Macaca mulatta: one gene and its partners. Each later gene encodes a partner of the first gene's protein in a complex. Links are inferred from orthologs where the notes say so. Each region holds a gene or a part of one and is shown in the gene's direction. Other genes may lie near its edges.

What was found.
Region 2: the proteins of WDR48 (region 1) and USP12 are in contact, whole or in part, in a crystal structure (PDB 5K1C), measured with the Homo sapiens proteins. The link is inferred for Macaca mulatta from reciprocal best matches to the Homo sapiens genes WDR48 and USP12. Residues at the interface, in NP_065890.1 of Homo sapiens: Arg50, Trp77, Asp118, Tyr119, Lys121, Leu137, Ser170, Tyr172, Thr188, Asp211, Asn212, Lys214, Ser230, Gly254, Trp256, Arg272, Ile363, Ile364, Leu424, Lys425; in NP_872294.2 of Homo sapiens: Arg185, Leu187, Thr188, Cys189, Glu190, Thr191, Ser227, Lys230, Cys236, Arg237, Ser238, Lys239, Gln240, Glu241, His243.
Region 3: the proteins of WDR48 (region 1) and USP46 are in contact, whole or in part, in a crystal structure (PDB 6JLQ), measured with the Homo sapiens proteins. The link is inferred for Macaca mulatta from reciprocal best matches to the Homo sapiens genes WDR48 and USP46. Residues at the interface, in NP_065890.1 of Homo sapiens: Arg50, Trp77, Asp118, Tyr119, Lys121, Leu137, Arg139, Ser170, Tyr172, Thr188, Asp211, Asn212, Lys214, Ser230, Gly254, Trp256, Arg272, Ile364, Leu424, Lys425, Gly521; in NP_073743.2 of Homo sapiens: Arg181, Leu183, Asn184, Cys185, Glu186, Thr187, Cys222, Ser223, Glu224, Lys226, Cys232, Cys233, Ser234, Lys235, Gln236, Glu237, Gln239.

Annotation. Positions count from the first base shown.
Region 1 is NC_133407.1:101,394,023-101,397,668, forward strand, and holds part of WDR48 (WD repeat-containing protein 48), read left to right. Parts: intron 1-393; coding exon 394-470; intron 471-2,614; coding exon 2,615-2,807; intron 2,808-3,380; coding exon 3,381-3,476; 3' UTR 3,477-3,646. UniProt on the Homo sapiens protein: Regulator of deubiquitinating complexes, which acts as a strong activator of USP1, USP12 and USP46. Enhances the USP1-mediated deubiquitination of FANCD2; USP1 being almost inactive by itself.
Region 2 is NC_133422.1:7,255,578-7,260,005, reverse strand, and holds the start of USP12 (ubiquitin carboxyl-terminal hydrolase 12), read left to right. Parts: upstream 1-1,610; 5' UTR 1,611-1,782; coding exon 1,783-1,830; intron 1,831-4,428. UniProt on the Homo sapiens protein: Deubiquitinating enzyme that plays various roles in the regulation of the immune response and inflammation.
Region 3 is NC_133410.1:80,912,489-80,916,134, forward strand, and holds part of USP46 (ubiquitin carboxyl-terminal hydrolase 46), read left to right. Parts: intron 1-1,752; coding exon 1,753-1,831; intron 1,832-2,723; coding exon 2,724-2,825; 3' UTR 2,826-3,646. UniProt on the Homo sapiens protein: Deubiquitinating enzyme that plays a role in behavior, possibly by regulating GABA action. May act by mediating the deubiquitination of GAD1/GAD67.

The DNA of each region.
Region 1 (3,646 bases):
GCTCAAAGGTGAATGCTGTGGGTTTCTCTCAAGACACTTAAGTTTTTGTTTGGGCCTTTAGGTATCAGCCCCAATATTTTAATGTAGAATTGAGATTTTGGTTTGTATGGCTTAAAAAATTAAAATAAAGTTTGTTTCTCTTTAATACCTTGTACTGTTATCTAAGAAGAGCCATGCTACAATTTCATATTGCCACTAATGTCACATATATTTTTCTGATGAATTTTCTCAAAGGCTGACTTAGGTAATTTGATAGCTCACTATACATTTCATAGAAAGTCACTTTTAATTGTAAGATAATTATTACTCGCAAGTCATGTTTTCCTATTAACATTATTTTCATTTATCAACTAATAGAAACTATTATACCTTTTTTAACTTTTACTGTTTCAGAAAAATATGCCCAAATTCAACAAAATTCCTTTCTACCTCCAACCTCATGCATCTTCAGGAGCAAAAACCTTAAAAAAGTAAGTAAATATATGCTTTATTGATCTAATTAACTACTGAGAGAATTCCTTTTCCTTCCTTTTATAGCAAAGGAAGCATATACCAGATCTAAGGCTGATTTTATAATATTCATAGTTTATACAATTAAACCACTTACCAGGTACCAACTTTGGCCGACTACAGGTGTTCAGAAATAAATAAGGCCAGGCACAGTGGCTGATACCCATAATCCCAGCACTTTGGGAGGGTGAGGTGGGAGGATTAATTGAGGCCAGGAGTTTGAGACCAGCCTGAGCAACATAGTGAGACCCCCCTCACTACAAAAGATACAAGTAAAAAAATTAGCTGGGCATGGTAGCACACACTTGTAGTCCAAGCTAGCCAGGAAGCTAAGGCAGGAGGATCGTCAGAAGTTTGAGGCTGCAGTGAGCTAAGATCATGCTACTGCACTCCAGCTTGGGCAGCAGAGAGAGACCTTGTCTCTAAGAAAAAAATGATAAATAAAACATGCATTTTGTCTGTTGCCTTAATTCACAGTTTAGGACCCAACCTGTATATAATAGTTGCTTTTATGGATACTTAAGGAATAATGAGAGTGGGAGAAAGAAATGAGCTTGTGGCTGGAGCTTCCCAGAAAGGCTTCTTGAAGGACATGGAATTTGAGTTGGACATGTAATGATTGGTAGAACTTCAAAAGATAGATATTCCAAGTCCAGGACACAGTGTGATCAGGGATATGGAAGTGGGAGCATGCATAAGATAGTGGAAAGTAGTGTGAGGACCCATGCATCTGCAGCATGGGATGGAGGCACAGCAGGAAGATATTAGGAAGTAAATTGGAAAGGCTGTTAAAGGTTTTGTTGATGTTGGATTTGAATGCCAAGCCATAGAGCGTGCAGTGACTAAACACCAGAAACTTTTGAGCCAATGTGGGATATGGTCCAGGGAGACCCAAGAGAAGAATTTTAGTACTGTAGTGATGGAATGCTAAACTATGAACAATATGTATATTCTAGCAAATAAAATCAAAAAAATTTGTAAGCCTCTTTGTTACAGAGATTTCCAAACTTATATAGAAAGAGCTCCCCATTGTCCAATCAGATAGCTTCAGTAATTATCAATACCTTGCTAAACATTTTGCTTCACCTGTACCTCTACCTGCCCTCCCACCCACCTCCCTCCACACACCGCACAGACACACACACAATTATTTTAAAGTGAGTCTTAGATAGATTTAACAACTGCAGTTCAAATGGTTTTCAGAGCGTAAGCCTTAGTTTTTTGGTGTAATAGTTATTGACTGTTATCAGAGATACAGAAGTAGGGTGTTGGTGAGTCTAGTTTGGGACATAGAGAGTTTGAAGTGCCTGTAGGACATCCAACTGAAGATACCCAACCAGCTGTTGGGTTTGTGGTTTACGACAGAAGTTTGAGACTCAAGGTCTAGACTCAGGCATTGTCTACCCACAGGTGCTAGTTGAAGGCATGGCAGTGGGGAGGAAAGCCCAGGGAAAACTGAGCAGTGTAGGACTCTGGTAAGCATTGGGAGCTGCCTGCCTTTCCAGAATTATTATTTAGTTTGCCCAGGCTCTGGGAAAGTATTCAAGGGAATAAAACCCAGAAGGCTACTATGTATATATATGTAAGTGTTTTTGTTTGTTTGTTTGTTTTTCTGAGATGGAGTCTCACTCTGTTGCCCAGGCTAGAGTGCAGTGGCATGATCTTGGCTCACTGCAGCCTCTGCCTCCTGAGTAGCTGGAATTACAGGCGTGCACCACCATGCCCAGCTAATTTTTTGTATTTTAGTAGAGACAGGGTTTCACCATGTTGGTTAGCCAGGCTGGTCTTGAACTCCTGATCTGAAGTGATTCACCTGCCTTGGCCTCCCAAAGTGCTGGGATTATAGGCATGAGCCACCACACCTGGCCTGTATATGTAAGTTTTAAGAACATGTATTAATCTCATTTAGTTGTACATAAACTTATGTCTTAGAAGGACACTGTAGAAAATCTTTCGGCAGCTCTAAAAATGGATTAAGGTAATGACTAAAAACATTTATTGATTTTTCATCTTTATAAAATGTTCGCATCAAAGAAAAATAATATGGAATAAATAATATCTAGTGATTTCCCTGATGTCACAATATGCCACTGCTTCTTTACAGAGACAGACTCTCTGCTAGTGACATGCTCCAAGTCCGAAAAGTTATGGAACATGTTTATGAAAAAATTATCAACTTGGATAATGAGTCTCAAACCACTAGCTCTTCTAATAATGAAAAACCAGGAGAACAGGAAAAAGAAGAGGATATTGCTGTGTTGGCAGAGGAGAAAATTGAACTTTTGTGCCAGGACCAGGTAAGTGGACTTGAGGACTGCAGCCCCAGTTTTTCCAGTGCTGGTGCTTATCAAGAGTTACATGCCTTTGGGCGGGGGGCTTCTACTTTTAGAGGGGCTCTAAGGAGCCCTGGGCCTCTCCCACCTAAAGCCCACCCTAAAGCTCCTCTTTACTGCTGGGGAGATTTTCAGAGAAGGGATACATAGACAAATGTGGATGTGCTGGTAGCTTTTTTTTCTGACAAGAAAAAGACACATGGTCTTCTTGATTTGCAAAGCAGCATGTGCCATGTTAGTTTATGATTTAGAGTGAAGGTGTGCGGAGAAATGGCAGAATGGTTTTTTAAATCAAGATGCACTCAAAACATATCCTTAGACGAATGGCTGAAAGATGGCCTGGTGTTTCTGGTATAATCACAAAAGATGTACATCTCACTAAGCTCAATTTCATTCCCACATGCATGGAAGCCGTGACAGCAAGAATTGGATATCAGGCATAGGGGAGGAGTGAGCAAGCTGGAGTCCCTGAGTTAATGATAAAGGTTTTAGATATTAGAGACTTTGAAATTTTTAAACTTAATTTTGGCTATTCAGGTTTTGGATCCAAATATGGACCTTCGAACAGTGAAACACTTCATATGGAAGAGCGGTGGAGACCTAACCCTCCATTACCGTCAGAAGTCCACGTGAAGGGTGGGCTAATGCTTCTGGGTATTCATTTACGACCTTCCTCTATGGCCCCAAGAGTAGTCCTAGGAAGCCCACTGAGCCCCAACGGGAGCAAGACTTCTAATGGCCGATTTGGTATGGACCGAGATTATCTTTCAATTGAAGTGACTAATCGAGATGTAATATAGAAA
Region 2 (4,428 bases), on another chromosome or scaffold:
TGGCACATCAAATCTGTTTGCTGGAATAGAACAGCAAGGGGAAAGGACAGGATGACCACAGCTGTTTGTTTATCAGGATGGGCAGACAGACGGGCATGGGGACACTCGGACAAAGCCCAAGTGGGCCCTAGAGGTCTAAGATGTAGAAACCCTTGTCCAAACAGGGGTTAGAAAAGAGCAAGAAAGACTTCAGGTGGGTGATGCTTGCAAGTCTAGAGAGGGAAGCCCCTGGCTGGGGTATCAGGGCTCTCGGCTTCCATGGAGGCAGGCGCTTGGAGAACCAGGCCGGCTACCATGGGATTTAGCTATATTCAATCTGCATTCTCCCCCCAAGCAAGCTTATAATGGAATCACTATGGAAACAGTATTCATGTACCAGAAGTCTATTTTTCACTTAAATTTTGTTTGAATGCTTTGTTTTTGAGTGCTTTGAACCCGTGAGGTGAGGCACTTCTGATTTTACAGCTCTGCCTGAATTCAGATCCTCAATCCCACTGAATTAGGGGAACCCAGAAAAGTACCCCATCACGAGTTCACCCATCGAAGATGCCACAAGCTTTCTAACATAGTAATTTATGAAGTTATTCTACTCACTTGAGCTACTTTCTCAAATAGGAAAAAATAAAGCTGAGCTGCCAGGCATGAAGAACAGGGTGCAAATATGAATTTTAGAAAAGAAGAAAAGAGGAACTACCCATGCCAGTAGCCAGCACTGCCTAAGGATTTCTCACAGGGCATTCTTCTTGCTTGCGGGCTTCTTGTCTCTGGTAATATCATCATCACTGCTGGCTTGAGATCTTCCCTATTTTGCAGCTCAATGTGCAGATATTTAGAAGCCTGTTATAAATTTACGGCCAACAGGCCAGCAGGATTTGCTCCTCTCCTTCCCCCATTACTTATTTCTTCTTAATTCAAAGAGTTAAACGTGTAATTCGTTCTTTGCCTCTTCATTTTTATTTAATTATTTTGTCTTTTTCTAAGTTGTGTTTGACTCCGGTGATTCATCCAATATACGTAAAAAGAAACAAACCAAGTGCTTGGGTAACCCGGGTTATCTTAACTGTCAGAGCAGGTTTCCTCCCACTCCGCGTGTAGTTACCCAGATCATCGCCTCCGTTTTCTGTTTAGGCAGCGGGGGCTCGCCGTCCCCTCGCCCGCGGTGGGTGTCGCAGCTGGTCCCCTCGAGGTTCTCCCAGGTCGCCGCCGCCTCCCTCGCCCCCGCGCCTCCCCGCCGCGCCCCTTCCTACGCGGGGCCTCTAAGCGCCCGGCTCTAGGACCGCAGGGACGCGGGCAGGAGGCGGTGCCCGCCTTCGGTCCTGCCCTCTGCCGCGCGCGGGGTGGGGCCGGGCCGGAGTTCCCCGCCTCGCGCTCGCCGGCCGCGGAGGGGGCGCCGAGGGGTGGGCGGGGCTGCGCCGCCGGGCCGCGCTGCTGCCTGGCAGGCCGGGCATTAGGGCCTCGGCGGAGCCCGCTCCTCTGCGCGCTGGGCGGGGTGGGCGGCGGGCGGCTTCGCGGGCAGGCGCGGGCCCGGAGGCAGCGGCTGCGTCCTGCGCTGGGGCGGAGCCGGGGGCGGGCCGGCGGCCGGCAGGCGGGGGCTGGGGCCCGAGGCCGGGAGTGCCTGAGCGCCGGCGGCGACGACGGCAGCGGCGGCCCAGCGGGTTCGGTGCGTGGGTCCGCGGCGGCTCGGGGTCCGCCCGCGGGCTGCGGTGCGAGCGGGCGGCCCGGCTCTCCTCCTCCCCCGCCCGCCGCCGCCGCTGTGATTGGGTGGAAGATGGCGCTGGCCGGATGGAAATCCTAATGACAGTCTCCAAATTCGCCTCCATCTGTACCATGGTAGGTGCGGCGAGCGGGCGGCAGGGGCAGCCGGGACCTCTCGGACGGGCGGGCGGCGCTGGAGCCGCCTCTCCCGGTGGCTGCCCGCAGGGCCTAGCGCGGGGGCGGGCGGGCGGCCCGGGCGGGGGCGGTTGGACGGCGAGCAGGCGGGGAGCGCGGGGGTGAGCGGCCCAGGCGGCTGGGGAGGGGGCGCCGCCTGGTGGGCCAGGGCGGCGCGAGGGTGGCGGTGAGGGGGCGACTGTGCCGGACGTGGCGTGGGGCGGGCACCGGCCTCCGGGAGCCCCCGGCTGAACTGCTGGGGTGCGCTTGGGGCGCGGGGCCGAGAGCCGAGACGGGCTGGGCCTGTGGCGGGGCGAGGGGTGGGCGCGCGCGAGTCGGAGCGCGGCCCCGGGCCGGGGTCGCCGGCGAGGGGGCGCGGAGCCGCGCGGGCTGCATTTCCTCCTGGTCGCGCGCCGAGCGGGAGGGGTCCCCGGGCGGGGTGGGGGTCGGCGGGCAGGAAGGAAGGGTCTCGGCCGTGGCGGGCAGCGCTCTTTCCCGCCTGGGAGAGGACGGAAGTCAAGTGCAGATTTCCTCGCGCCGCTGGCTGGGCCGAGTCCCCGACCCCGCGCTGGGGGAAAGGGGCGTGTGTGAAGGTGGAAAGTTTAAATAAGTACTGTTGAAATTCTCTCCATTTTCTCCTCTGAGAGGCACATGCTCTCCCGTTTCCAGCCGTGTGTCCAGGTGGCAGTCTTGTCTCTGGGAATGCACGTTAATCTTGAAAAGCAGCATTAGCTTTCCTGTCATTTATTTACTTCAGCCCACCAGACACATCTGTATGTGGCTGGAGCTAGGTGTGTCTGTGCGGGGACCGCCTGCCAAGGCGACCGTATTTGTTTTCCCAGGGCGTTTAAATAGACTGTAAGGGAAAAGTGCTAATGCCCGCTGGAAGTCCCGAATTAAGCAAAACGTGGGCGCGTTTGAAACTTGGTGTTTTGTGCGTGGCCAGAAGGACCACAGTTTTCCACATGATGAGACAAATTCGTTTCATTAGCTCCTCATGAGCTTATATGTAGGGATCATAATTTATGAGTCATCACCGAAAAAAGTTGTTCTTTGCAACGTGGGCCTAGTGGTTGTTATTAAAGACTTCTGAAATCTTGTGCTTCATGTCTCACTGGTCCTATTTATGCAACTGATTTCATATAGGAGATCCCCAAGCAATTTTCCGTCCAAGGGTTGTACATTGTATATATTTTTCTTTAAGGAGTGGTGAATCAGATCTGAAAGATGCTTTAAAAGCAGATTCTCTCCTGCACGCTGAGGAACAGTACAAAAAATGGCTGAAATCAGGTGGACATAAAATCGACAGTATTAAAGAAATCATACTGAAGGATGAATCATTGAAGACTCCATTTCCCAACTGGATGATTGTTCTTTCTCACAGTTTACATTTTAGGAAAGCACTGGTATTAAATGGACTATGTTAAAATGATTTTCGAGGATTGTTTGGGCTAATTATTTTTAGATATGCCAATTATTAGTCAGTTTCAAAAGGAATGCGATAATTAGGTCTTTTACAGTGACAATTTTGCCAGATTGCTGAGCTACACACATTGTATGGGTCATAGTTCGTTGTCAAAGACTAGGATTTCAGGAGTGGTGTGATACTCTTGACCGACTATTCATTCACTCAAGTACTGTATATCAAGTATACATTTAGCAGCTACTAAGTGCTAGAGGCGGGGCTGAGTGCTGGGGATGCAGTATTGGTCAGGGCAGCCCCTGCTTTCATGGTGTTTACATTCTTGCTCATGGACACAAACAGTATTCAAGTAAACAATAAATGTATGCTGTAATCAGATTAGGACAGTGAGACACAGGGATTTGCCAGGGTCACACACTTAGTAAGTGGGATTCTGATCTCAAGGATGTCAAACTCAGAAGCTCTTTCTAGGGCTTCCACCCAGATACGTTAATTACATGTGGGGTGTGTGTGTATTGTTGGCAAATAGTGCCTGGCCAAATGAGATTGTTCCAAAGGTACTATTAAAATTCGGTGTGTCCGTATTCATATTTGAATACATTCGAATGCACCCCCAAACAGTGCTAAATATCTCAGTAGTTTGCAGTCTTATTCTTTAAAGAAAATTGCCATCTGTCCTCTAGAATCACAAAATTGAAAAGCAGAGATACCTCTTTGGCTTTGTAGGTGGTTTTGCTAGGCTTGGAACGCTCCTCCCCGCCACACCCCTTTTCCTTCTCGTCTGGAGAGTGTGTGTAGCTGTCTGTTAAGCAGGGAGCCTCCTTACTTCAATAATCCTACCCCTGTCCAACCCCACCCTCCATCCCCTTCCTACAGTTGAATGGCATTTTTGTAATCTCAGTAGCACCTTATGCTTACTGTGTAGTAAAATTTTCTTTGAACTCTTAATTATGAGGGCCTTGAAGGGGAAGGATTATCATTTACTTCTGCAGTTTGATCTGGAGTACCAAGTTCTGCATTCAGTATAAAAGTTTTCCAGAGTCCTTCCTGTCTGCTCCCGCTATGCCGGGTGAAGCAGGGATGATACGGCTGTGTGTGTATGGAATGTGGAGAGAAGATGGGCTGGACTTAAACAG
Region 3 (3,646 bases), on another chromosome or scaffold:
CTAACTAGGATTCTTCAAACTCCTCCCCACAGAAGTAGCATTGTTCTCCTGTGTGGAGCAGGGTTGGCCTATGCATGTGGATTGGGTGGCTTCCAGGTAGCACTGGAAAGCTTTGAGGTTAGGGAGCTGGGCCTGCCTTCCCTTCCATGCCAGGAAGGCAGGCCCACAGTTGCAACAGGTGCATAGCCTCATGCATTGATTTCTGCTGCAAGTTTTTTTTTAAGCTCATATTTTCTGGGTTCCATGCCAGGATCTGAAGATAGAGTAACGAAAAGACACACAGCACAGGGGCCCTGCCCTCACAAAATTTATAATCTATCTGGAAAGACTGATAATGAACAAGTAAACACACTGCCCTGCTACCTCCAAAAACAAACCATTGCAAGATAATTTGATTTTGATCAGTGCTATCAGGAATAAACAGGGAGATGAGTGAGTGATGGGAAATACCTCTTCAGGTGAGGTGGTCAGCAGAGATTTATCTGGGGAGGTGACATTTGAGCTGAGGGCTAAAAAGAATGCAGTTGGGGGAGGATTATCTCTGGCAGAGTTTACAGCAATGCAAAGGCCCGTAATGTGAAGGGGGTGGCGTGTGAGAGGAGCCCGATGGGCTGGAGCTCAGAGGGAAAGGGAGACAGTAGCTGGAGGAGGCTGGAGAAAGGGCAGGAACAGATCATTGGCATCATCTTGTGTTGAAAGAGGGTAAACAAAGGGGAAAGTTTGGCTTTTTCAACTTTAACAGTGCGTTAAAAAACAGTTTTAGGTTTAGGATTAAAATCTCCTCACTCGTGCAAATCTAACCTAACTACATAGTGACAGCTGCTTAGTTGTCCTTTCTGCTTTTTTCCGTATAGCATAGTATATGGCTTTTTAACACTTGTTACTATGCTTATTGGTTTGTTAATGTCTTTCTAAAACACAGATCATGCAACTCCTCAAAATTCCCATTTCTTCCTGGCTTGCTCGAAGCAAAGCCTAAAATCTTACTTGCGATTCCTACACCTGCCCCTCAGCCCCCTCCGGTCTTCCCCTCCTCGCTCACTCTGCTGCTCTGGCCTCCTTTGGCCTCTCTGCTGTTCCTGAAGACACCAAGTGCTACTCACTCACCCCAGGTGTTTGCACTTGCTATTCCCTATTTCTGAAACTTCCATCCCAGAGTCACATGGCTTCTCCCCATGCCCTGACCCCAACCCCACCCCTACCCCTACCCCTGCCATTTCCTTCAGGGAAATTTCCTTCTGCTCACATTATCAAAGTGGCCTCCCTTCACTTTCCATCAAACATTACCTCCTCCCATCACTCATATCCCATTACCCTGCTTCATCCTTCTCCGTGACACTTCTCACCGCTTGACATACATTTATAACTTTAGTTTGTATATTGCCAATCTGGCCCCTACCCCAAGTCCTAAGTAAGTGAGGTCTTTGTTTTGTTCACTGCTTCTTCCCCTGACAGATAGAATAGGGCCTGGCACAGAATAGGTAGAGAGTAATTTTTTGTTAATATTTACTGAATTTGAGTGTCTGTTTTTGCTGCTGGATTATGAGTCCTCAGAAGACATCTCTTCTGTCCACTTTTGTATTCCCGTGTCCAGCTTAGTGTTGTGAACATAGACATCAGCTGTATTCCAAGTTCTTTATGCTGATGACATAGTTTGTTTCCCAGAGAATCACTGCGTATAAAGAGCTAAGTAGAGTTTTATAAAGAGATAAATGTTAACTTGCTGACTTTCTTTTAATTGTTCTTTTCCAGTGGTCCTAATCGTGGGCATTATATCACTATCGTGAAAAGTCACGGCTTCTGGCTTTTATTTGATGATGACATTGTAGAGGTTGGTTTGCAGATTATTCTCCAGTAGTCATAGAGCATCAATAGTATTTCAGGGAACGTATACGTATAGATGTTTTCTAAAATAGGCCTCTTTCCCCATAATGTAATTTGAAAACAACTTAAATTTCTATTCAAAACCAAATTCTGCGAATCCCCATGCTCCATGGAAAGGGAGAAGGGGTGTGATCACGGACTTACCGACAAGTGTTCTCTACGGTTCAGCCATAGACACGGGGTCTCTCTATCTGTGCCACCGTAAATCATACTTAAGTATAAGTCTTGTTTCTATCATGACTAAAGCCCCCTCTGATACAGGGCAAACAATAGACTTCAAAGTTCTATTAAAATTATTTTATTATAACAAATTTTTCTTGTATCGATTATTGTTTATTTTTTTCAGTCTGTTGGATCTGGAAATCTTTATATTACACCAATACATTCTATGTATTGACTTTGTTATAAAAGAATACTAGCTGGAATGAATTCTACACTCAAAGACATGATCTATTTTAACCCACTAGGGTAGCAGTTTTAGTGGAATAACACTAAAAGTGGAATAACACTAAACTCTGGTGGCCGGAAAGACTTAAGGCTATTTCCAGGACCCATCAGTTTACCATCTGGGAGATGTCTTGTCTTGTTCTTCAATGAGTGCCCACACAGGGTTGCTAATGCATGAAGGCGTTGCCTACTTTCCCAGAGATGTACAATTTCTGTGATGATGTCCTTCAGCCAAGTCTGTGGAATTCTCCATTTGCTATTGAAAGTTCCTAATCATGATTTCATAACAAATTGTCCTCCTTGCATTTTAATATATATTCCATTAGTTTTTATCTCCTTTCCCCAGGAATCATATTATATAATTGTATTGTTTTCTTTCTCCTTTATTGCAGAAAATAGATGCTCAAGCTATTGAAGAATTCTATGGCCTGACATCAGATATATCAAAAAATTCAGAATCTGGATATATTTTATTCTATCAGTCAAGAGAGTAACTTAAAGAACTGTGGAACTGAGTCAAGTGGGGGAAAATGTTCAAAGCACTATTACCTGGTTTCTCTGCAGTCTTTCTTCTTCCCCAGTGGCCCACTAATGGTATCACTCTGAGTCTCAATGGTCTGGCCGAGTTAGACTCTCTCCTTTTGTGTTTTTACATGCAGCACTACTCTTGGTTTTATTTCAGTCTGACGTAGAGTTAACTGCAATCAGATTGTAGTCTGATTTGTATGAATAACAGTTGCTAATTTTAGGACTGGGTGAAAGCTATGCCATTCATTATGTCTGGCTGTATTAGAATGACATTTCCTATGAATGTCTATGGTCTATTTTAGGTGTTTGCTAAACTTCTGTGGCTTCCAGGATCTTCTTACAGTGCATTCCTTTAACTTGTCCCTGGAAGCATTGCTACCCATTTTCAGCTTCTCTGCCTCTTTTCTGATAAAAGGACAGAAGAATTGGGTAGATATTCACCTTTTAGGGGTGCAACTGTAGCTTTAAGTTTGTGCAAGTGAAAATGTTGAAAAGTGAGTAACCTCAATACTAAAATCATCCTTCACATGAAACAGGGTGAAGAGAAGCTGTCCGCGGTGGCTGGTGTTGGCTGGCATTGGCACTAGGCTGTGCTGACCTAGCCATTAGAATTCCAGGGGCTAAGAAGGCTCAGGGCAGGCAAAGCCAAGAGGGGGAAGTTTTTGTGGACAATGAAAAGTTATTTTCGTACATTTCTACCAAAACCCAAGTTTCAGGAAAATAACTCTATGTTGTTTATTTTCAGTGACACTTTTGTGAGGCCCTGTGAATTGTATTTATCCTGTAT